Linked DNA regions of Stegostoma tigrinum. The protein of the gene in region 1 interacts with the protein of each later gene in a biochemical or structural test. Links are inferred from orthologs where the notes say so. Each region holds a gene or a part of one and is shown on either strand. Other genes may lie near its edges. The genes, in order: eps15, sgip1a and tfap2a.

The links.
Region 2: the proteins of eps15 (region 1) and sgip1a form a complex in vitro, tested with the Homo sapiens proteins (2 studies listed by BioGRID, with this or other methods). The link is inferred for Stegostoma tigrinum from reciprocal best matches to the Homo sapiens genes EPS15 and SGIP1.
Region 3: the proteins of eps15 (region 1) and tfap2a form a complex in vitro, tested with the Homo sapiens proteins (2 studies listed by BioGRID). The link is inferred for Stegostoma tigrinum from reciprocal best matches to the Homo sapiens genes EPS15 and TFAP2A.

The regions. Positions count from the first base shown.
Region 1 is NC_081361.1:63,483,769-63,491,173, forward strand, and holds the start of eps15 (epidermal growth factor receptor substrate 15), read right to left. Parts: upstream 3,100-7,405; 5' UTR 3,040-3,099; coding exon 3,013-3,039; intron 1-3,012. UniProt on the Homo sapiens protein: Involved in cell growth regulation. May be involved in the regulation of mitogenic signals and control of cell proliferation. Involved in the internalization of ligand-inducible receptors of the receptor tyrosine kinase (RTK) type, in particular EGFR.
Region 2 is NC_081361.1:50,747,719-50,755,180, reverse strand, and holds the start of sgip1a (SH3-containing GRB2-like protein 3-interacting protein 1), read right to left. Parts: upstream 3,071-7,462; 5' UTR 3,056-3,070; coding exon 3,028-3,055; intron 1-3,027.
Region 3 is NC_081358.1:44,307,908-44,315,949, reverse strand, and holds the start of tfap2a (transcription factor AP-2-alpha), read right to left. Parts: upstream 3,084-8,042; 5' UTR 2,438-3,083; coding exon 2,276-2,437; intron 1,661-2,275; coding exon 1,586-1,660; intron 1,288-1,585; coding exon 856-1,287; intron 1-855.

The DNA.
Region 1 (7,405 bases):
AGTAGGCTATTGTACAAAATGCAGAGGAATGGAAATGTGGGAGATATAGCAGTTTGGATTGGAAATTGGCTTGCTGAAAGAAGACAGAGGGTGGTAGTTGATGGGAAATGTTCATCCTGGAGACCAGTTACTAGTGGTGTACCGCAAGGGTCGGTGTTGGGTCCACTGCTGTTTGTCATTTTTATAAATGACCTGGATGAGGGCATAGAAGGATGGGTTAGTAAATTTGCATATGACACTAAGGTCGGTGGAGTTGTGGATAGTGATGAAGGATGCTGTAGGTTGCAAGAGACATAGATAAGCTGCAGAGCTGGGCTGAGAGGTGGCAAATGGAGTTTAATGCAGACAAGTGTGAGGTGATGCACTTTGGTAGGAGTAACCGGAAGGCAAAGTACAGGGCTAATGGTAAGATTCTTAGTAGTGTAGACGAGCAGAGAGATCTCGGTGTCCATGTACACAGATCCTTTTGCCACCCAGGTTGGCAGGGCTGTTAAGAAGGCATACAGTGTTTTAGCTTTTATTAATAGAGTGATTGAGTTCCAGAACCAAGAGGTTATGCTGCAACTGTACAAAACTCTGGTGCGGCCGCACTTGGAGTATTGTGTACAGTTCTGGTCACCGCATTATAAGAAGGATGTGGAAGTTTTGGAAAGGGTGCAGAGGAGATTTACTAGGATGTTGCCTGGTCTGGAGGGAAGGTCTTACGAGGAAAGGCTGAGGGACTTGAGGCTGTTTTCATTAGAGAGAAGAAGGTTGAGAGGTGACTTAATTGAAACATATAAAATAATCAGAGGGTTAGATAGGGTGGATAGGGAGAGCCTTTTTCCTAGGATGGTGATGGTGCACACGAGGGGGCATAGCTTTAAATTGAGGGGTGAAAGATATAGGACAGATGTCAGAGGTGGTTTCTTTACTCAGAGAGTAGTAAGGGAATGGAACACTTTGCCTGCAACGGTAGTAGATTTGCCAACTTTAGGTACATTTAAGTCGTCATTGGACAAGCATATGGACGTACATGGAATAGTGTAGGTTAGATGGGCTTGAGATCGGTATGACAGGCTGGCACAACATCACGGGCCGAAGGGCCTGTACTGTGCTGTAATGTTCTATGTTCTATAACTCTGGTGAGGACAAATGAGACGAGCAGCAGCATTTCTTTCAATGGTGGAACATGCCAGTTCTAGAAAGGCAAAGATTTGCTACAAGTGCCACAACTAAAGAGAGAAGAGGAAGTCTTCATTTGTTTTTATTTGGCTGCAGAGCCTGAGTGGGATATAAAGACAAGTACTTGCCCAACATCTGCAATTGTCTCCCAACAGTATAGACTAAATTCAAAAGAACATGTACAACTACCTATCGGACTCCACTCCAGTGCTTTTGATTCTCCTGAACCAGAGACACAATGCAGTGGGTACTACTGATGCAGAGCCTATACTTAGTTGATTAACATTAAGGCAAGATTCTATTTTATAACATTTTTTAGGCAATTTGCTCACCTTAAAGCATGTTTTAGAGGGCCTACAAGTGGTTAATGGATACCAGGGCATGTCAACACACTGACAGGCCGGAATGTCACATCTTTGGGGGGGCCAGGGTTCCTTGGAGATAGCCCACAGTTTAGCCAAGGGCTGCAGGTGAATAATTGTCTGGTATCTCCCACAGAACGTGACGAAGGCATATTCAGTCATGGCTTTCAACATGAAACTGAATAATTATCTACAGACCAAAAACGTGCAGGCCCATAGGGAGAAACAAACAAGACATGTGGCTAACTGTGTTGCTCTGGCAGACAGCTGACACATACATGATAGAACAAATGGCCTCCTCATGTACTGTACCCATTCTATGTTGTTACATTTTTCAGGTAATCTACACACCATAACATATGTTTGAGAATGATAAAAGTACGAAGGTGCATGATGCACAACTTGCGTGGAAATAAGGCTGGACAGGAAATGTTAAGTGGAATTCCAGAGTTGAGGGGATGGATTATGAGGAGAAACTGAAACTCTACAAAACAGAGTCTTGTATCTGGCCTTGGTGTTCTTGATGCTGTTTCATGCTCCCCCTATAGCTCCAGGAAGATCAGGGATTATACTCATTGGAATTCACAAGAATGAGGGGAGATATTATAGAAAAGTAGAAGATTATGAAAAGAATAGATATGGAGGAGGCAGGGCGGTTGTTTCATTCAGCAGGTGCAACTCAGACTAGGGGCATAGCCTCAAAATAAAGAGAAGCCGATGTAGGACTGAGGTCAGGAGATACTTCTTCACCCAAAGGATTGCGAATCTGTGGAATTCCCTGCCCAGTGAAGCAGCCTCGTTGAACGTGTTTAAGGCCAAGGCTAGATAAATTTCTGAACACTAAAGGAATTAAGGGTTATGGTGTACGGGCGGGTACGTGGACTTGAGACTCAAAAAGATCAGCCATGATCTGATTGATTGGCGAGCGGACGCTCGAGGGGCTGGGTGGCCTACCCCTGCTCCTCGTTCTTACGTTGTGTTCTTATGTAATGAGAAATACTACAGAAAAGAAACATACTGGTAAATCGACATCAGCTTCAAATGCCAGCATACGCCGTTTCCTTAGTTTTGAGACATTTGTTTACAACTTACATCAGTGTATGTTCCGGGTGCAGTTTAAATGCTACATGGGTCCACCCTCCCAACCGTAATAAAGTGACCGCCCGATCTACCGCATCCAATAGTCTCCTGGCCGCTTGAGTTTACGCAAAAATAAAGGAGGCCCAGCAAATCCTCCAAATCCTAAACAAAATCGCACTTTCACACAAACTACGCCCACAAACTGTTCCCTTTATCCCGGCTCTTGGTGCCTCACAGGCCCCAGTGCAATGGCACCCCAACTGCACAACAATTCATTTCCTCTCAGTCACAAAAGCCGTATTTCTCCAACCAGACCCCACCCCCACTCTTTGTTTCCACTCTCGCTAACATAAATAAATTAAAACGAACAGCCTCGGTGTTTTAAATAATAAGATCTGGTTTTTACCTGAGTGAGTGTAAAATGCCCCGCCATGCTGTTTCCTACACTTTAGCCCATCATGCACTGAACAAAAGTTCGTGAACTTTAACATCACAAACAAAACCTGGCACTGGATTTCGAGGTGGAATAAATTTTCTGTCGAAGTGTATCTCTCTGTGTGAATGTCTGTAAACTCACATCTCTTCGCGTGCCAAAACCAATCTCAAACCCATGCCAGTGACTAAAGAGCAAGTGCGGCCAATTGCTGGCCTGGTGATCATTTATCTCTGAATCTTTCTGACATAGCTCCACAGAGGCCGGCATGCCGTCACCTAGTCACCCTTTATTTACACAAGCCTATTATTTGCAACTAGTCCAATCCACAGAGCCAGTCTCAGAGTGAACAGAACTGATGACATTATTATCACTACATCGCTCCCCTGTAAATTCTGGGACATAGGCCTGTTTTTGCCTTGTAGCCTCTCCGTGCATTTTTGCACTGGGCCTGGTTCCTCCAACACAACCTCCGATACGGGCAACATGTACCAGACCATAGCATGCCTCTTGTGCCCGAAGCATCTTGAAAGAAATTTGTCCTTTTTTTCTAAGCAGTAAAGGTGTTGACGCTGCAACATCGACTTTGTCCATCTCCGACTGAGGTTTCTTCAATGCTGGATGGAGGAGGAAGAACCCACTGGCTTCAACAGCCTTTCTGGTTATCTGAGGGGCCAGCTATGTTTCGCCCCTGCTTCTTTTGTGAGTTTGCATCTTTCATGTGGTCCATATGTTCAGGACCACGTCACCTATCCAAACTTTCTATATCATAGATAATAAAATGTGAGGCTGGATGAACACAGCAGGCCAAGCAGCATCTCAGGAGCACAAAAGCTGACGTTTCGGGCCTAGACCCTTCATCAGAGGCTCTCTGATGAAGGGTCTTGGCCCGAAACGTCAGTTTTTGTGCTCCTGAGATGCTGCTTGGCCTGCTGTGTTCATCCAGCCTCACATTTTATCACCTTGGAATTCTCCAGCATCTGCAGTTCCCATTATCTCTTTCTATATCATAGGACCTGACTTCGTGTGGACCATGTGTCTTACCCATGCAGGGCCATTTCTGTGGTTTCAGTACCAAACTTCATCCCCTGAAGTAAACTGTCTCCCTTGCTTCACAGAGTCTTGTGTCTGGCCTTGTTGTTCTTGATGCCGTTTTATGCTTCCCCCACAGCTCCAGGAAGATCAGATTTAACCTGTTGCAGATGTTTGCTTCCCATTAGCAACTCTGTGGATATTGGCCTATGAGTTCTGTTACTTGGTTCAGAACAAGTGATGCGCTTCTGCTATCTCACATCTACATACTGGCAGCATCGACAATGGCTTGCTGGCCTCAATTTGAAGAGAATGTTAGCTGTTTGGTCGTGGTTTGCTGTGGGCTGACCTATAGTCCCCCAGTTCAGAATATGTCCTGAGTGAGGCTATACAGTTGCCTTCATTCAAGTGGTGTCCTGCAAAATGATTCAGCCTGGGAATAATGTCCACTTCTATTTGCATTTCCTGAAACTCGAAGCTCCACTTGCTGCATTTTCTAATGACAAAGCCAGCTGTAGTTCCTGTTTGAAGTCATTTGGGTTCAGCTAATCGGTGCTTTTGCATGGTTACATCATTAATCCCACGTACCAAACAGCCTCTTAGTATCTCATTAAGGGTTAGACCAATGTTACATGCCTCTGCCTTGTCACAAATCCCAGTGTGGAAGTGCCCAATTCTTGAAATGCCAAAAAAACCCGATTATGTCTTGGAATTAGAGGTAGCTTGGGATGTCAAATATTCCCTAACTAAATCCATCAACTCTTGAAAAATTTGACTATCTGGTGCCTCAGGGAAAGTTAGGGTCCTAATAACTGAAAAAGCTGCAGGTACAATAGCTGTCAGGAGAGTTACTCATGGCTTTTCATCTGCCCCAGTGTCATAGAACATAGACCAATACAGCACAGAACAGGCCCTTCAGCCCTCAATGTTGTGCCGACCTGTGAACTAATCTAAGCCCATCCCCCTACACTATCCCATCATTATTCATCTGCTTATCCAAGGACTGTTAAATGCCCCGCATGTGGCTGTTAACTACATTGGCAGGCAGGGCGTTCCACACCCTTACCACTCTCTGAATAAAGAACCTGCCTGTGGCATCTGTCTTAAATCTATCACCCCTCAATTTGTAGCTATGCCCCCTCATACAAGCTGACGTCATCATCCTCCGAAAAAGACACTCACTGTCCACCCTATCTAATCCTCTGATCATCTTGTATGTCTCTATTAAATCCCCTCTTAGTCTTCTTCTCTCCAATGAGAACAGACCCAGGTCCCTCAGCCTTTCTTCATAAGGCCTTTGCTCTAGACCAGGCAACATCCTGATAAATCTCCTCTGCGCCTTTTCCAATGCTTCCACATCCTTCCTGTAATGGGGCGACCAGAACTGCATGCAACATTCCAAGTGAGGCCGCACTAGCGTTTTGTACAGTTGCAGCATGACATCACCACTCTGGAACTCAATCCCTCGACCAATAAAACCTAACACACTGTAAGCCTTCTTAACAGCACGATCAACCTGAGTGGCAACTTTCAGCGATCTATGTACATGAACACCGAGATCCCTCTGCACGTCCACACAACCAAGAATCTTTCCATTGACCCAGTATTCTGCCTTCCTATTATTCTTCCCAAAGTTAATCACCTCACATTTATCTGCATTGAACTCCATTTGCCACCTTTCAGCCCAATTCTGTAGTTTATCCAAGTCTCCCTGCAACCTGCAATATTCTTCCACGCTGTCCACCCCTCCACCGATTTTAGTGTCATCTGCAAACTTACTAACCCAAGCACCTATGCCTGTGTCCAAGTCATTTATAAAAATCACAAATAGCAGTGATCCCAAAACAGATCCTTGAGGCACACCACTAGTAACCGGATTCCAGGCTGAATATTTTCTATGAACCACCACTTGTTGCCTTCTTGCAGAAAACCAGTTTCTAATCCAAACTGCTAAATCTCCTTCAATCCCATGCCTCCGTATTTTCTCCAATAGCCTACCATGTGGAACCTTATCAGAGGCTTTACTGAAGTCCATGTACACCACGTCAACTGCCCTACCTTCATCCACATGCTTGGTCACCTTCTCAAAAAATTCAGTGAGGTTTGTGAGACACGACCTGCCCTTTACGAATCTATGTTGACTATCTCCAATCAAATTGTTGCTTGCTAGATGATTGTAAATCCTATCTCTTATAATCCTTTCCAAAACTTTTCCTACAACAGACGTAAGGCTCACAGGTCTATAATTACCTGGGTCATCTCTACTGCCCTTCTTGAACAAGGGCACAACATTTGCAATCCTCCAGTCCTCTGGTACTAAATGAGGACTCAAAGATCAAGGCTAAAGGCTCCACCACCCTTGCTTCCCAGAGAATCCTCAGAAAAATCCCATCTGGCCCAGGTCGTTTATCTATCTTCACACTTTCTAGAATTGATAACACCTCCTCCTTACTAACCTTAATCCTTTCAATTCTAGTAGCCTGTAACTCAGTCTTCTCCTCTACAATATTCTCCTTTTCCTGAGTGAAAACAGATGAGAAATATTCATTTATGACATCTCCAATCTCCACAGGGTCCATACACAACTTCCCACTTCTGTCTTTGACTGGCCCTATTCCTACTTTAGTCATCCTCTTATTCCTCACATACCTATAGAAAGCTTTAGGGTTCTCCTTTATTCTACCTGCCAATGTCTGCTCATATCCCCTCCTTGCTCTTCTTAACTCTCTCTTTAAACCCTTCCTAGCTAATCTGTAATTCTCCATAGCCTCATCTGAGCTATCTTGTCTCATCATCACATAAGCCTCCCTCTTCCGCTTAACAAGAGATACAATTTCTTTAGTAAACCACGGTTTCCTTACCTTATCGCTTCCTCCCTGCCTGACAGGGACATACCTATCAAGGACATGCAATATCTGTTCCTTAAACCAGCTCCACATTTCGATTGTCCCCATCCCCTACATTTTGCTACCCCATTCTATGCCTCCTGAGTCTTGCCTAATCGCATTATAATTACCCTTCCCCCTTCTATAACTCTTGCCCTGTGGCATGTTCCTACCCCTTTCCATCGCTAAACTAAACATGACCAAATTATGGTCACTCTCTCCAAAGTGCTCACCTACCACTAAATCAAACACCTGGCCTGGTTCATTACCAAGTACCAGATCCAGTGTGGCCTCCCCTCTTGTTAGCCCTTTGACATACTGTGTCAGGAAACCATCCTGCACATATTGGACAAAAACTGATCCATCTGACGTACTAAAGCTATAGCAATTCCAGTCAATGTTAGGGAAGTTAAAGTCTTCCATAATGACCACCCTGTTCCTTTCATTCC
Region 2 (7,462 bases), about 13 Mb from region 1:
CCCATGTTTCTCACCTCCTCTCACTTTTCTTGTCCTATCTCTTTTTTTCTCTACCATGAATTGCACAGTTTCCTTTAACATGGTAAATAAAACCTATCCAGTTATAACAAACAATTACTGTCCATGTATCCTTATTGTCAGTTTTCTTCTAGTTTGGACGATGTGATATTTCTCACAGTCCTTGTGTGGTATTTCCTTTACTACATTAATTTTACTGGTTGTTGGTATGGGATCCTTTATGCTCATCCGTAGCTGTTGCAGCGCAGTTGTTGGGTTGTGGGCTACCCTGATACCTAGGGGTCTGAGTAGACTTGTGGTCATCTCTGATATGTCTCTGATGTATGGTAGAGTGACCGGTGTGTCTGGCTGTGTCATGTCTTCTTGTTGCGGTCTGCCACGGAGGTAATGACAGACTGTTTTTTGGGCATCCATTCCTTTTCAAAACATTGTACAAGTGCCCCTGGATTGCTGCAATGTTTTGTGGCCCATTTGAATAATGTCAAGGTGCAGCTCCATTTATGGGCATTCAGGTGGTTGTTGGAGTAATTAAGTATTTTGTCTACATGTGTAGTCTTTCTATATACGCTAGTCTGGAGTTCCACGTTGTTCTTACATTCCACCATAATGTCTAGGAAGGATAGTCAGTTATTGTTCTCTTCTTCTTTTGTGAATTTTATTCCAGGAGGACGTTGTTTAAAGCTTTGGTAGTTTTCTTCTAGTCTTGCGCATTCGATAATCACGAAGGTGTCATTGACACAGCGGACCCAGAGTTTGTTTTGTATAATGCGGAGCGCTGTTCTTTCTAACCGCTTCTGCAATTAGTCCTGTTATGGGGGACCCCGTTGACTTGCTTGAATATACAGTCATGGAAGGCGAAGAGGCACAGATCCAGCAGTTTTAAGATGCTGTCCTTGTTGATGCTGTTGGTGTCATGGAGTGCCTTTCTGATTCAGCTACCAGTGTGGGAATTGTCCTTTTGGCTAGATCGATCTTTTAGGTTGAATGTAACGGATCCCATAACCATAGACGATAAAAATAACATAATATACAAAATATCATGCAAGGACTGTGAGAAACATTACATAGGCCAAGCTGGAAGAAAATTGACAATAAGGATACGTGGACACCAACTAGCCACCAAGAGACACGGCCGATTCTCACTGATCTCAATACACATGGACAAAGAAAGACACAAATTTGACTGGGACACACGTCCATAGCACAATCAAACAGAGACATGCCAGAGAATTCCTGGAGGACTGGTATTCCGACTGGAACTCCATCAATAAATACATTGAATTGGACTCGATATAAAAACCACTGAAAAACAAAACCGGAAGTATTGCCAACCTCCTCCCCAGCAAACGAAGGTGTATAAATAGCAAGTGGGATTGGACACCAATGCTTCACTGGAGGTGCACTGATGATGTTACCTAGCAGGACAACAAAATATCTGCAACCAAAGACATTGTCTTAGCGAGCAATTCTACAACCTCATCCACAACCCGTATTAGAAATCTTCTCAAAAACTTTAAAATTCATAAATCCATTAACTTTAAAGGTCATTGGAATCTTCAATAGCATCAAAAAGAACTGTAAAGCTATCAAGGTATTTAAAACTTCTGTCCTTTAAGTATTGGGAATTTGGGAACATGAGATCGCAAGTATAGGGTATGCAGAGTGTTCTGAGAGATGGGAGTAGGGGGAGGTGAAGACTAGAGGACAGTTCTGTGCTTTACTATTGTTCTTAAATTCCTCCACGATGGTAGAGCATCAACACAGGTCTTCCATCCAGCCTGCCTTGGCACCTGGTACCTGCCCATCCTAACTCCCAGAGTGCCCAGCCACTCCAGAAAGAAAATTCCAACTTCTGGGACACTTCCTCCTTAATGGGTTTTGAAACCAGGAAATATCACAACTGTTAAAATTCACACCTTTAATTTGCATCTTTGCTCTACTATTAAATCAGTGTCAATGAACCTAGGACGTACACGCTAAGTCTTGGGGCAGACGCTGCCAAGGCGCGGTGGTGAAAGACCACTGTATGAGACCCCTCAGCCGGAATGTAACATGGGCCCTATTTGGTAACTGGGCTCAGCTGGCACCTTCCCCAACTGGTCAGGGGGCCAACAGGGACTGTGCGGGTAGACAACCGCCGGGGTTTTTTCTTTGTTTTTGTTTTTTTCTTTTAGTTGGTGTACATACCCCTAGGGTAACCCGGAGTGGCTAGCATGACCGAGTAGGTATGTAAATATGTTTATTTTTTGTATATGCTACGAATATAGTATTTTTTTTGAATAAAAAAATGTCAATGAACCTAGGACAGACTTCAGAAGCATTTCAATATGGATGCAAGCTGTTTAAAATTTTGCAATGAAATATTTCAAAACACTTCATTAATACAGTTCTGTAAAAGATTGTACATTGATTTTAATGCAATCGTTCTAGTTCACACTTGTACTTTGAATCATAGAGTCATAAAATTATTCAGTATGGAAACAGGCCCTTCGATCCAACTCATCCCTGCTGACCAAGTTACCCAAACTAAACTAGTCCCACTTGCCTGTGTTTTGCCTCAATCCCTCTAAACCTTGCCTATTCATTTACCTATCCCAATGTCTTTTAAATGTTGTAACTCTACCTGCACTTACCACTTCCTCCGGCAGTTCGTTTCACGTACAAACCTCCCTCTGTGTGAAAATGTTGCCCCTCAGGTCCCCTTTAAATCTTTATCCTCTCACCTTAAAAATATGCCCTCTACTTTAGAACTCTCCCACCCTGAGGAAAAGACCTTTGCTATTCACCTTATCTATGCCCTCGTGATTTTATAAACCTCTATAAGGTCACCCCTCAGTCACCTACACTCCAGGGTAAAATGCCCCAGCCTATCAAGCCTCTCAGTTTTAACAAATGTCATTTGCCCATCAATCAGTAAAGTGCAGAGTTTCTCGGGACAGATTTGACTGTTCTCTGTTATCCAGTTTCTCCAGTGAGTTAAAAACGTATTAAAGTTTTATTGTTTCCTACCCTGTGATGTTTTCAAGCAAGTCTCCATGGTGCAGCTGGCACTCTCATCAGCAGCTGGCACGAGTATCAATATCTCTAGCAATTTGGGTCTTTTGAAATATATTATGACGACTGCCTCCTGGTGTAGGAAAACGTGACATTTAGTGAGAACAGGGACTGCTGCTGCACAGAGCAGAACAAATAATCTTAGGGGCTCACGAGCAACATTGATAAAAAAAGTTCTAAAATAATTTTACAGGGAATTTTGTGTTTGTTGGATGGGTATAATAGCTGTCTGTGCAATTGCACCCACTGTCAACAATCTTTTCAAAGGTGAATTTTGACATCTGCTGTTCTTCTGCTTGTTGCCCTGGACAACCCACTGAATGCATTCGTACCAGCTCTCTCCCGCAGATGGGCTTCTGAATTTCTCCACTTGCCAAATAACATGATAATACTCAGGTCATGCAAATAAACCTGACTGTCTTTATGTGGGCGTCCTCCTTCAGGTGCCAGTCAGGCAGACGTTCTGGGCATTCTGCAAGCCTACTACACACCACATAGTGAAACCTGTTGTATGCATGGCAGTCGGTCAGGTTTATTGGTCTTTTGGTGCGTGCCATTAACTCATTCATGCGAAGGGCATGAGTAAAGGTATCTGGAGGGGACCTAATGTTAAGGCACCTCACGTTTTGTGAGTTTATCCATCATCTTATAGTTGAGATCAACGGCTCCTATTTTGCAATTTATTTATTTTCTTTGATTCTTTTCAATGTCGTATGCTGAAACCTTGGCCTTGGCCTTTTAACCTGGCTTTCTCAAACTAATCAGAAACTTATGACTGAAACTTTACATGGACTTGATTTGAAGTAATTTTCGAACAAGCTCGGTCTCTTTTCATTGGAGAAAAGGAGGAGGAGAGGGGACCTAATTGAGGTATACAAGATAATGAGAGGCATAGATAGAGTTGATAGCCAGAGACTATTTCCCAGGGCAGAAATGGCTAACACAAGGGGTCATAGTTTTAAGCTGGTTGGAGGAAAGTATAGAGGGGATGTCAGAGGCGGGTTCTTTACACAGAGAGTTGAGAGAGCATGGAATGCGTTGCCAGCAGCAGTTGTGGAAGCAAGGTCATTGGGGTCATTTAAGAGAGTGCTGGACAAGCATATGGTCACAGAAATTTGAGGGTGCATACATGAGGATCAATGGTCGGCACAACATTGTGGGCTGAAGGGCCTGTTCTGTGCTGTACTGTTCTATGTTCTATGTTCTATTAGCGGCAAGTAAATTGTTATAACAATTCCAAGGTGCTATGTTGTAAGATAGAAATATTATTTTAATGCGAGAATTGTTCAAATTAAGAGACTTCTCCAGGATCAGGCATGATATTTCTTGCAAGAGGGAAAGGATGCAGGCCATTTCAAAGGACAGCCAATGCTAATCTACCGGTGCTGGGTGAATGGGGCCTGAGAAGATTCCACAGGAGCCTAAATGTAACCAGCCAAGAACATTCAGCAAGCAAATGCAAGAGTGAGAATCAGGGCATTGTACAGCCTCAGGAAATCAGAGGCCCAGTTGTTTCATTTGGGATGTCTGGAAAGGAGCCCTCCCTCTCCAGATTGCAGTGACTTTTTAACATGCTCTTTCTGGCACCTTCAGCTGGAGGGAAGGCATCCACTCAAGAAGGAGGTGAAAGTCCATTAACCTAAATGGACTGCATGCTGGAACATTGGTTTGCATTCATTGTCTCATCCAATGCTAAAACCTGAGATTAGTGCAAATTGATCAACTAAGGGTCATGTGCATTTTAAAATCCCCGTTCTGCAGTACATTTTTAATAAATTAAAAGTTTCAGTTATTTGTACTGATCAAGGGAGAAGATGCCAGTGTTGTATACTAGGATAACAGTTCCCACACCCAATGCCAATATTAAGCACTTTTAGGTCAAATGCAACACATTATCCTGCAGAATTGTAAATCATTTGACTGCTACCTGCAATCAGATGTCTGAAACACTTTTGTATGAAATAAACAAGAGAAACCACTGTGTTCAAAGGCAGCAGGAATTACTGTGTCAGGTAAAAAGGGGGGAGATATGTCTTGGAAGGGGAGAAAGACTTAGCTGTGTAATACACCATTCACTATCACATAATTCCCCAAAGCATTTTACTGCCAAAGAAGGACTTTTTATATAACATTCCCTGCTGAAATGCAAGAAGCATGGCAGCCAATTTGTTAGCAGCAAGAATACACTAACAATAATCTATTTATGACAAGGCTATAATCTGTGTTTTGGCGTTAGTTCAGGGACTATGTTTGCAAACACACCAGTGACAAAATAAATATTGTTGCTACCTATCACCAACACTTATGAATGTGGATTGGTTTGGTGCTATGTAGCTGATTGAGCGCAGTGGGTGGTGAATGTGGGCTAAATTTTACCAAAAATCAACTAAGCGTGAACTTTGGGGCATGTCACTGAAGCTTTCTATTGAGTTACCTTACACCGCTCACCTCATCGCGTGCACCATAATTTGGTGGCTCCACTCTTGCCCTGTCTTCCGTTCACCAGTGACAGAAGAACTTGATACTGCTGGGGTTTGCGCTTCCTGGGAACATGTTTAAAGTCCAGCTGTGTACCAGGACAATTACTACCAGCCAGAAACTTCACATATCACACAATGGGAGAAGAAGAAAACACAAAAGCATCTGAGGGCATTTAAGTGGCCCCTGGGACGCTGCATTGCAAACAGCTTCTCACATCAGTAATTATATTGCTATCTTACAACATCACCTGTCTGACTGGTATTGTATCTGCAGTTACAAGAATATCAACTCCAGAGGCTACCCATCCTGAGCACCATACCAGTTTAGACCCCTGTCTAAGGGAGCCCTGCACTTTCCCCAACAGTCAGCGTAACATGTCATTGTTCAGTGTGGAAGCATCACATGCTGGAATGCTTCCAAACAGAGGAAAATGTTAACTTTCATTGAACAACTGGAAAAGCATGGAAGAGACAAATGAAGAGAGAAACATTTACTTCTGGGAATAAACTGAGGCTGCTTGCCTTTTGAATAACAGATTTTCAGCCAATTACTGAACGTTGACCTCACCCAGCTCACATTTATTGGAACCTGATATTAATTTAATCCTAAATTAATACAAAGAAATTGCTAGAGAAGGTTGCTGGACCTGGAGCACTAACTCTGTTTCTCTTTCCACAGAGGCTGCCCGACCTGCTGAGTTTCTATTAATCTTTCAATTAAATCCTATCTGGATTGGCAGTCTTGACTTAATACCCCTCTATTGTGGAGGTGATGTTCCACCCACTCAATGTCCTCATCTTCCTCCTTGGAAAATAGGCAGTGCCCTTCCAGCTCTTCAGCATCCATTAGCTCGCCTCTTTACCTGCTCCAGTTGTGCTAGAATTTTGCAGCATACTGTCCAGGCTGAAAAGCCTGTCCAAAAGCATTGGAACTTCATCTACAGGAGGCCTAGAAATTGCTTTATGATGGCTCCAGTGGAGGGTTGGGCTGTTTTGTATCTACACTCAGCCTAGTTGGGGCGTTACTTAATGGAACTGTCAGCCATGGTTATCCTTATTAGTTATGCAGCCTTTGTAGTAATGCAGCAACAGAAGAGTTCTCAAGGATGTGGGAATCATGGCTGTTTCCAGGGAGCCTGGTTCAGACTTCTGAAATGTGATACTAATGCTTACAGATGCTTGTGTATTGATGGAATGGAAACCTTTCTGTTGATCAAGTCTGCCAACTTATGATGTAGCACTTTCAATACAATGTATATCCAGTCTTTAGCACGTTACATCTGTGGGAAGTTGGCAATGTGGGCAAAGCCGACCAACCAGCCTGTAGCACTGACCACATGATGGGGAAACCAGATGAAATGGTATGGTCTGACACAAATTATATGAATAATGGCTTTGATACATTCATGAGCCAAGGATTGAGAGTTCACAGTAAGATCGTCAGTAAAGTCTTGGAAACAGCCAGTTACATCAAACTTTAATGCAGCTGTCACCTGGATTGCCTGTGGGATAGGATAACCATGTATCACTTCAGGTTGCAGGTCCTGCCATAGCAGATGAGAAGGTTCTGCAGTGATGTCCCAGAGCATCCTCAGTCTGTGGCAGCGCTGCTCCTCAGTCATCTCGAGGATGCCAAACTCTGGGTCACCTTCACATCCTGAGGGGACATTTAGCTGCAACTTCTTCAGGTGGAGGCTGTTTGGCAGCTGCTGGTCCTGGCCTTGCTGATGTATTTGCTCCTTCCTCAGTTTCTCTGCTCCTTCATTGTACTAATGCCACGGTGACAATACCCTCTGTTGTGGCTGGCCCATTGGCCCTGTTTCAAATGAGCCTATCGGGGTAATATCAAAAACAGAACAGATAGCGAGGCTTGGGGGAAGGGCAGGGCATGTGGGAGGAGGAGATTCAGG
Region 3 (8,042 bases), on another chromosome or scaffold:
AAACGCAGCTACCAAGAGGGCGGATGGTTTTCATCCCGCATTAATATGCATCCTTTGTTTGCAAGGTAAGTAATAACACATTAATGATTATTCCAGGTTGTTGCAGAAGGAACGAGTTCAAATTATAATTTAAAAGCACAGCTCGCCACGGCGCTGAAAAACGAACAATTTAGTACAAACTAAACGCATGCCTTTTGTATTTTGCAATCTCGGGTCAGTAACTCAACAATGACCACTGGCATTGTAACCAGCTTTCAGCAACTCGCCACAGCTAATAAACGATTTTTTTATTTTCTCGTTGGGATTGGGGGCGGGGGCTGGGGGCAGGAATTAAGGCACATGCAGAATTTTATATATATGTTTAAAATTAATGATTCCAATTTTGAAGCTCTGGGCAAAGTCCAAATTGGAATAAGTCTGTTTTATCAAGTTGAAATATTGAATAAAGCGCACCACACAATTTCATTACTCCAAACTGTTTACATGAATGAGAGAAACTGATAGCGTTAAAAAGCAAGTGCTGGATTTAATTAAGGGAAGACGCAATTTATATTTCTAACAATGCAGAGGAGAAATTTGCTCTCATTTGATGCATGTTAATACATAACATTAATATGTATTGGTCATTTGGAAAAAATAGATTTGTTTCGCTTGATTGTCAATTTAAACTTGTCAATTTTATTTTCAAAATCTGAAGCAGATGCAGGGTTCACGAAAGCAGATTTTACCAGAGGTGGTCGTGAAGGGGTGGGTGGGTAAATGGGTTGAGAATCTCCCCTTAATTTGAAAACAGTTCACTATAGACCAAGGCAGCAGTGTAAAGTAAGAACTGCATAGGGTTTTCAAAGAACCGACCTGTACATCCTCGATGGCATGTGCGATGCTGTGGATAGGCAATGTATCCCCGAGGCCGGAGTCGAGTCCGTGGGTGCTGTGGAGGAGGACCTCGGGCCGTCGGTACTCCCTCCGCGGGTCCAGGCCGGCGAGTTGGGGCAGCCCGCGGGGCTGGTGGAGGATTCCCGCTTCCTGGTTCTGCCGCTGAGGCCAGGTCGGGTGCTGCGGCTGGGGCTGCGGGTGCAGCGAGTTCAGCGAGTAAGGGTCGTTCACATGGGAATAGGGGTCCTGCGACTGCGGGTAGATGGGCTGGTACGGAGGAGGGAAGTAGGGCGGCTGGAAGTCCGTGTTGGGAGTGTGAGAGAGCGGCGGGGCGGTCGGGTACGGAGACTGGCTGACCGTCCCTAACTGAGGCAACCGTGGAGTCCCATTGCTTGTGCCGTCATGCCGGTCCTGCAATGAAATCAGACATGTAAAGTTGTAATTTTTAAAAAATACATTATTTTATTCTTTTTTGTTAAAGAAACATCGCTGGTATGACACTTTCGTTGGCGGTGGCAAGCTTAAGTTTTACTGGCCATATTAGTAATTGTAAATTATCGCACGGGGTAGAATTCAACAAAATATTATCCTCCAAGGAGGTATGCTAGATTTTTTTTATTTTCACAATCCAAAGTGCTACCAGTTTTTGTTTTTGGGAGGGGGCGGGGGAGGCTCGTTTTAAACCTAGTGGCATCTCACTGAAACTCACCATGGCCGAGAAACTGTGCACTAACATCTGCGGGCAGTCTGATCTGAGTTCGTCAGGGGGAAAAAATAGAGAGACCTAGAGGTGGAAAATTGGAAAAAACAGTCCAGTACTATACAGCTACAACACGATCACAACGCCGGGGAGTCACATGCAGGAGGAAGGCAAGCGAATCCATCAGAACTTGAAAAATTTCTTCATTGGGAACAACACACACAAACAAAAAAAAATGATCAGAATTGTGTCTAGTTTCAGGGCGTCACGTCGGTAGATTTTTCAAACTTTTTTTTCTCTCTCTCTTTCTCCTCCTCTAAGGGCGAGCCGTGGCTTCACTCAGCACATAATAGCAGATATTCATGACTATTAATATTACACGAATACTTAATAAGGGGAGAATGGTCGGAAATCGAGCGTGAAGCGAGGAAGCAACTTAAAGCTGTGTCTGTTATAAATGACGTCCGTTGAATCAGTGTATCTAATCAGAGAGAGAGAGAGAGAGAATAGAGGGGCACACATTGCTGTTTCTGACGAATCACAGGGAAGAAGAGAACATTTTCAAGTGATCGAGGGCATGCGAAAGTGAGAGGGAGAGAGAAGGGGAGCAGGAATGGTGAGAGTCAGAGGGGGGAGAGAGAGAGACAGAGAGAAAGAGGGGAAGGAAAGAAAGAGTGTGATGCGGGAAGGAATTTGCACCTCGTTATCGTGTGAGAATCCAGCAAACGCCAAAGGCATGTCGGCGGCCACTCGCTTCCTGGCTGGAGAGCGACTACCTGCGCTCTCAGCTCTCTTCCTTTTCAGCTCTTTATCCGGAGGTGACTGCTGCCCTGATCCTGGGTCACTAGTAGTCTGATCCATCGTGCAATGGGTTAAAAGTTAAGAGACAGAGGGAGCGACAGAGACACTATGGAGTCTCCAAAGCCCTGATTCGTTTTCACGCACTTTTACGCAAGCTGCTCCCCTACTGCGATCCTAAAAAAACAACTCTCGTCTAAACTCAACTCGAAAGCGGCTCCAAACAAACGGATTTCACTTCTGATCGTAAACCTACTCCGCTGGAAGCTCGCGCCGACCCTTCATACTTTTCTTGGATTCTTATATTTTTTTTATTAATTTCCTCCCCGCGTTTTTGAAAAAAATAAAGTGAAACTAAACGGCCGCTTGGTTTAGCCCGTGGTGTGAACTGCCTTCTAGCCTGCTGTACAAACCCGTTTGACTGGCTATACAACTTCAAAACAACTCCCCAAATATTACCTCGCAAACTCTAGAGCAACTTTCTCAATCCGGGCACAATCACGGCTTTTAGCCTGAACCATCTAACGCCTTCTGCCATTTCCACACAAAAATCTTTCATCTTTACCAAGACACAATTTTGTGCAGATTTCAATGTTTCCATGTGCGTTTTTTTGTGGGGGGTAGGGTGGGTGGTTGGGGGTGGGGATTACGAACGTTTAAGCAACAAATGCAGACAGATATACAATTTGGACTAAGGCATTAGAATTGACTACAAAAGCAAACTGCTTTTCCTTGCTTGATCAAACTTGCTCTTTCCCAAGGCGTTCTGTGACAATAAGTGCAGCAAGCTTAGCGTTTTAATTTTGGTTTTACTTTCACAAACATCGCCAGCAACGCGGCCCTTTTTGAGGGTTCTGTTAAGAATTTATAGGCGAAGGATTTCAGCCAGGTTTACCAAACATTAATCATTTCAGATGCTTAATCTAGTGGACGTCGATTCTTAACTCTCGATTCCTGTATTGTTTACAAACGTGAGCTATTGCCACACAATAGAGCTGAGGTACGCACCCTGCAATCGGCGTTTGCATTATTTTACAATATTATTAAGCCGAATGGCCAAGTGCTCCATTTGTTTTTGTCATGCTGCATCTTTCTATAGAATATATAACTGTGAAAGCATACTTAATGTTTAAAATAAAACTTTGCAATATTCGGTTTAAATGAGAGTGATGTACAGCTTTTTTTCATTCGACGGGGCAGTGAAAACTGCATTTTAATTCTTTTGAATCTAATATGAAATTGCTTACCTCGCACTCCTCATATTTGATATTGTCCGCTAATTTCCACAGCATTCTCATGGATTGGTGTAAAAGTGGTTGACTGGATGTCTCAGAGAGCGGACAGTCCTGTACAGAGAGTGTGTGTTGGTTTAGCGCTCTGTATGTGCTCTGAGATCTCCCTCTAATGGTCGATCGTGTTCCCCTCTCAGCTCTTTAGTAACTCGCTAATAACAGCCCAATTAGCATATGAACACCAGCCAAACACTCATTCAACCACATTACTGCTCCAATGGATACAGGTAGAGAGCCTGCCCTGCCGCCTGGCAATGGACGTCAACATAAATACATTGGCGGTGGACAACAGCTTATAAATGTACATGGAGCTACTTGTTCTGTTACTTGTTAAACCCTCCCTTACCTTCCATTCTACCAAAGCACAAGAGTACGATGTGACTTTCTTTCTTTGGTTAACTCTTCTCCCTGCAGACATGCACTGTTTAGTTGTTAACTGATTATGCCTTCCAATGAAGGCAATAATCTTGCTGAAACACCGAACTCAGTCGTTTATTTTATAATAACAGGGCAAGTGTGCTTCACATTTTCACTATGTTAAATAGCAATAATAAATATATAGATATGACCCATATTTTGATACAACAGTTAACTTCATATTCCTCTGCGTATCAAGCACCCAACTTCATCTACATGCCCTTTTACTAAGTAAACAGTTTAGCTTAAATATTAGCTTCACAATGGATGTAGTTAAATCGAATCCGAACTGATTCCGACTTCCTTGCTTTTTGCTGATTTTTTTTAAAAAGCATCTCCTCAGGAAAATTCAAAGTAAAGACAATTTTAACATTCCCTCAGCAAGTTATTTCCCGGACACGTTTACGCTTATCAGAGCGGTAAACCTCAGTAGTGCTGAATTTCATTGATAATTAGGTGGCTTTACTACCAGTATTTAGATTCTTTCAGCGGTTGTGTCTCGTTTCCTAGCTGAGAGATTCTAGGTTTGTGAGCGAGAATTTCTTTCGGCATTTACCTTTCTTTGCTATCTGGAGGCTTTAAATAACAAGCGTGTAGAGTGTTGCACTGCAGCCATTGAGGTGGAAATCGTTTGTTATGTAGCTATTCAATTCATACGTAAACAGGGACTAAAAAAGCAAACTATTTTGAACTAACGTCGCATTGCAAACCTCTTCACAACCGCTTCATTAAAGTTATTACCATAATAAATGTCTGACTATGAATTTATGAATCGAGACAAGGTTGCACCGTTGTCTTTCATTGAAGGTGAGAAAGTGTGCAAGGGTAACTCTCAACCCAGGTAATCTGGGTGACTAGATCTAGGCGTCGTCTACAGGTAATCTTCATTACCATTTTTGGTGGAGCTCGAGGACAAAGATGTCATCAGAATCTATTGTCTTTAATTAGAGGACCGAGATATCCACCGATTCAGAACACCTCACTCCAAAAGGCCAAACGTTTTGAAATTTAAATACAAAATTATTTCTATCGCTGGAGTCACAGTCAGCTTTGGGTCTAAGAGGCGAAAATATTCAGCTGTACCTGGATTTTTAAACGTGTTTATGCAATTATTCTAAAAGCTCGCGGATCTAATTTATGTTTTTTTCTTGATGGCGTTCTGTTCTCTTAAGTCACTTGCAAAGAGTACGGCAGTATTTTTACATTTAAAAGTGATGTTCTTCCCCCCAATTTGCTCACTTTCTACTGTGAAGCACTTATTCATTACAAGCTGCTTGCATGAGCTGTGATCTCCCACTTTCATTCGAACTGTTGAAGGGGGTGTTACCTCTTAATATAACGCTGTGCATTAAAAGAGATAACGAGTTTGCAAGATCATTGATTTAAAGCACTGAACCTGCAGCTTTTCTATTTTACCTGTGTACAAATGTCGATTCTTTTAAAGAATAGATATTTTCCACATCTCCATTTTCAAATGAAAATTTGTTAATCTCATATAAACCGATGCTAGTTAATTTAGAAATCATTTAATGTTCACTTCTGTGCTGGCAGACTAGTGGAGTATAAGAATATAGTAAATGAGTTTATCTGAGAATCATACATTAAATTAACTTCTAATCGATCGCTATAGCAAAATACAATGAATAATTAAAATATATGCTCCTGTCGAATGGAAGCACTTTTTAACAGGAGAGCGGTGCTTTGCTGTTTTTATTTCTGCTTTTGTCGAGCAGTTTCTGAGCAGCCTAAACCGGTGAAATGTATTCCAACTCCTCCCCTCCCAATTTGCACTTCTTTTAATTAAATGTAATTCTATACACATGTAACCATAACAAGGTTCGCCTCGTTTTAAAATGCCAGCGATTTCTTTTGTGGCGAGGAAAATATTCACATCTGTTTATTTGGTTACAAGGTCTTGTTACCGTGGACTAGAATAAATGTAGTCCTCTCCGTTAAAGTGTGCGAACGATGGTGAAACGCCATTACTCACAATACTATCTTCTCCTTATTGATCTTTTTCAAAATATTCGCCCATTCTGACTTTTTTTCCAAAATAGGGCAAAAAGAAAAACACCTGTTACAGTCTGCATTGATTATTAAATCAACGTGTAAGTACGTGATATTTGTGCATTTAAATATTTTAACTTGGTGCACAGGTGAAGAGGACTTTTAGGACCTAGCTATCCTACAGCATTTTAGCGCCTGGCCTATACGCGTGCTTCAGATATTTTGACTTTTTTTCGTTTCGCGGGTGAAAGCATAAACAAGTTAGAGAATGGCTTTAAAGTACAGCAAATACTTCTGTTTGAATGTTACTGTCGTTATGTTTCTTGTATTGAACAATGGATTTCAATAAATCCTACCATGATAAATACCTGTATTTATATTCAGCATCTAACAAGTTCATTTTTCAATGCACGTCTTTTTGTGTCAGCTGAGACAGAATATCCCCTTATTTCAAAGCTTTAGGTCCGCCAAAAGTGTTCTAACTTTTTAAATATTATTATTGCAGCAAAGTTAGATTTGTGTCGTACATAATTCCAGTTTATAAAATACACTGAAATGTTTGGAAAATTATATAGATAACATGACTCTTGATTTGGAGCCCACAAGCAACATCCAGCTCTACACCTTGTTATCTCACATTGTTACAGACTACCTTCAATCTTTGAGAAAATCTAGGAACCATGGAACAATGGAATTAGGTTACAAGTTTTGTACCGAGCAAATAGCACATAGGCTTCACAGAAATATATTTGTATTGATACTCTATTGGTTCTAAACTTCAAATGTTTAATAATACACCAAATAAAGTTAAATCCATTGCTGCCGAAATCCAGTTGTAAAAGTTATTGTCTATTTAGTAGAATTTCCAATGAACCTGAAACAAGTTGTGTGTTTATGAAAAGGGAGTTGATAGACAAACTGCCACTCTTCAATATGAAAAAAAGTGTTTAAAAATAAAATATGAAAGAAGAAATGAAATTTAATCTGTCCTGAGAAAACGAGTTATTTCCCCAAGATTAGCGTTGTTCTACGAACATGTTAGACTAATACAACAGTCACATAATCGCTCGTTAAACTGGAGGCTAATCTTTCTTGTTTGTAATCTCATTGTGATTGACCCCAAGTTAGGAAAAGTTGTAACATGGTGATGATTACAGTGGGCTGCTTTCTATGTATCTGGAGCACAGCGCCGATAGTGAACTGACAAGAAAATCAAATCACATCGCAAAAGGGAAAAGGCAGAAAGGTTTGAGGCGTATTTATCGAGTTAACCTTTTCAGGGCCCATTCAAACAAATCAACTAAACCAAGGGTTTCGCCTGTAGTAGTGTAAATTGGATATCTAAACTTTTTTCAACCTGAGACTTTATAGAGTTTGTATTAGTTGCGTCATGCAGGTAAACACAATGTAAGTACTGATAGAAAGTTTGGACTCATTGACTTATTTGCAAATTGTAATTATTTGTCCCAATTCACTGACTTTATCCATGACGTTCGTCTACATAATGAAATATAGGCACCGCTGGAATAGGCAGCAACTTTCAATGGCTACTGGGACTTCTGTAATCATGCCAAAGGAGTGCCGTTAATAGATAAGTTCACGTACCTGCCAGTCCCCCATTTTGCCCAGAATTGACATATCGCCTGGAGTTGTCCGTGGTGTCCTCAAAAGATCTGTGAGCTGTTGAGTAATTTCTCCTTTTACCTCTCCAGGATCATCTCACCTGGTCATAAAGTGCTGGGTGCCACCTGTCCGCGCCTGCGTACTCCTCAGGAATGTCAGTACCTTGCAGCTTCAAAAAAAACGCCTATCTCAGCACTGATGGATTTACAGCAGCCATGTACCACGAAGCTCCATCGGCTACCAGACCTCATCATGACAACCAACAACACGAACAAAGGCTGGTCATGACAAAAAGGAGTCACACCTCGGTGAATTTGGGGGAGCTTCCT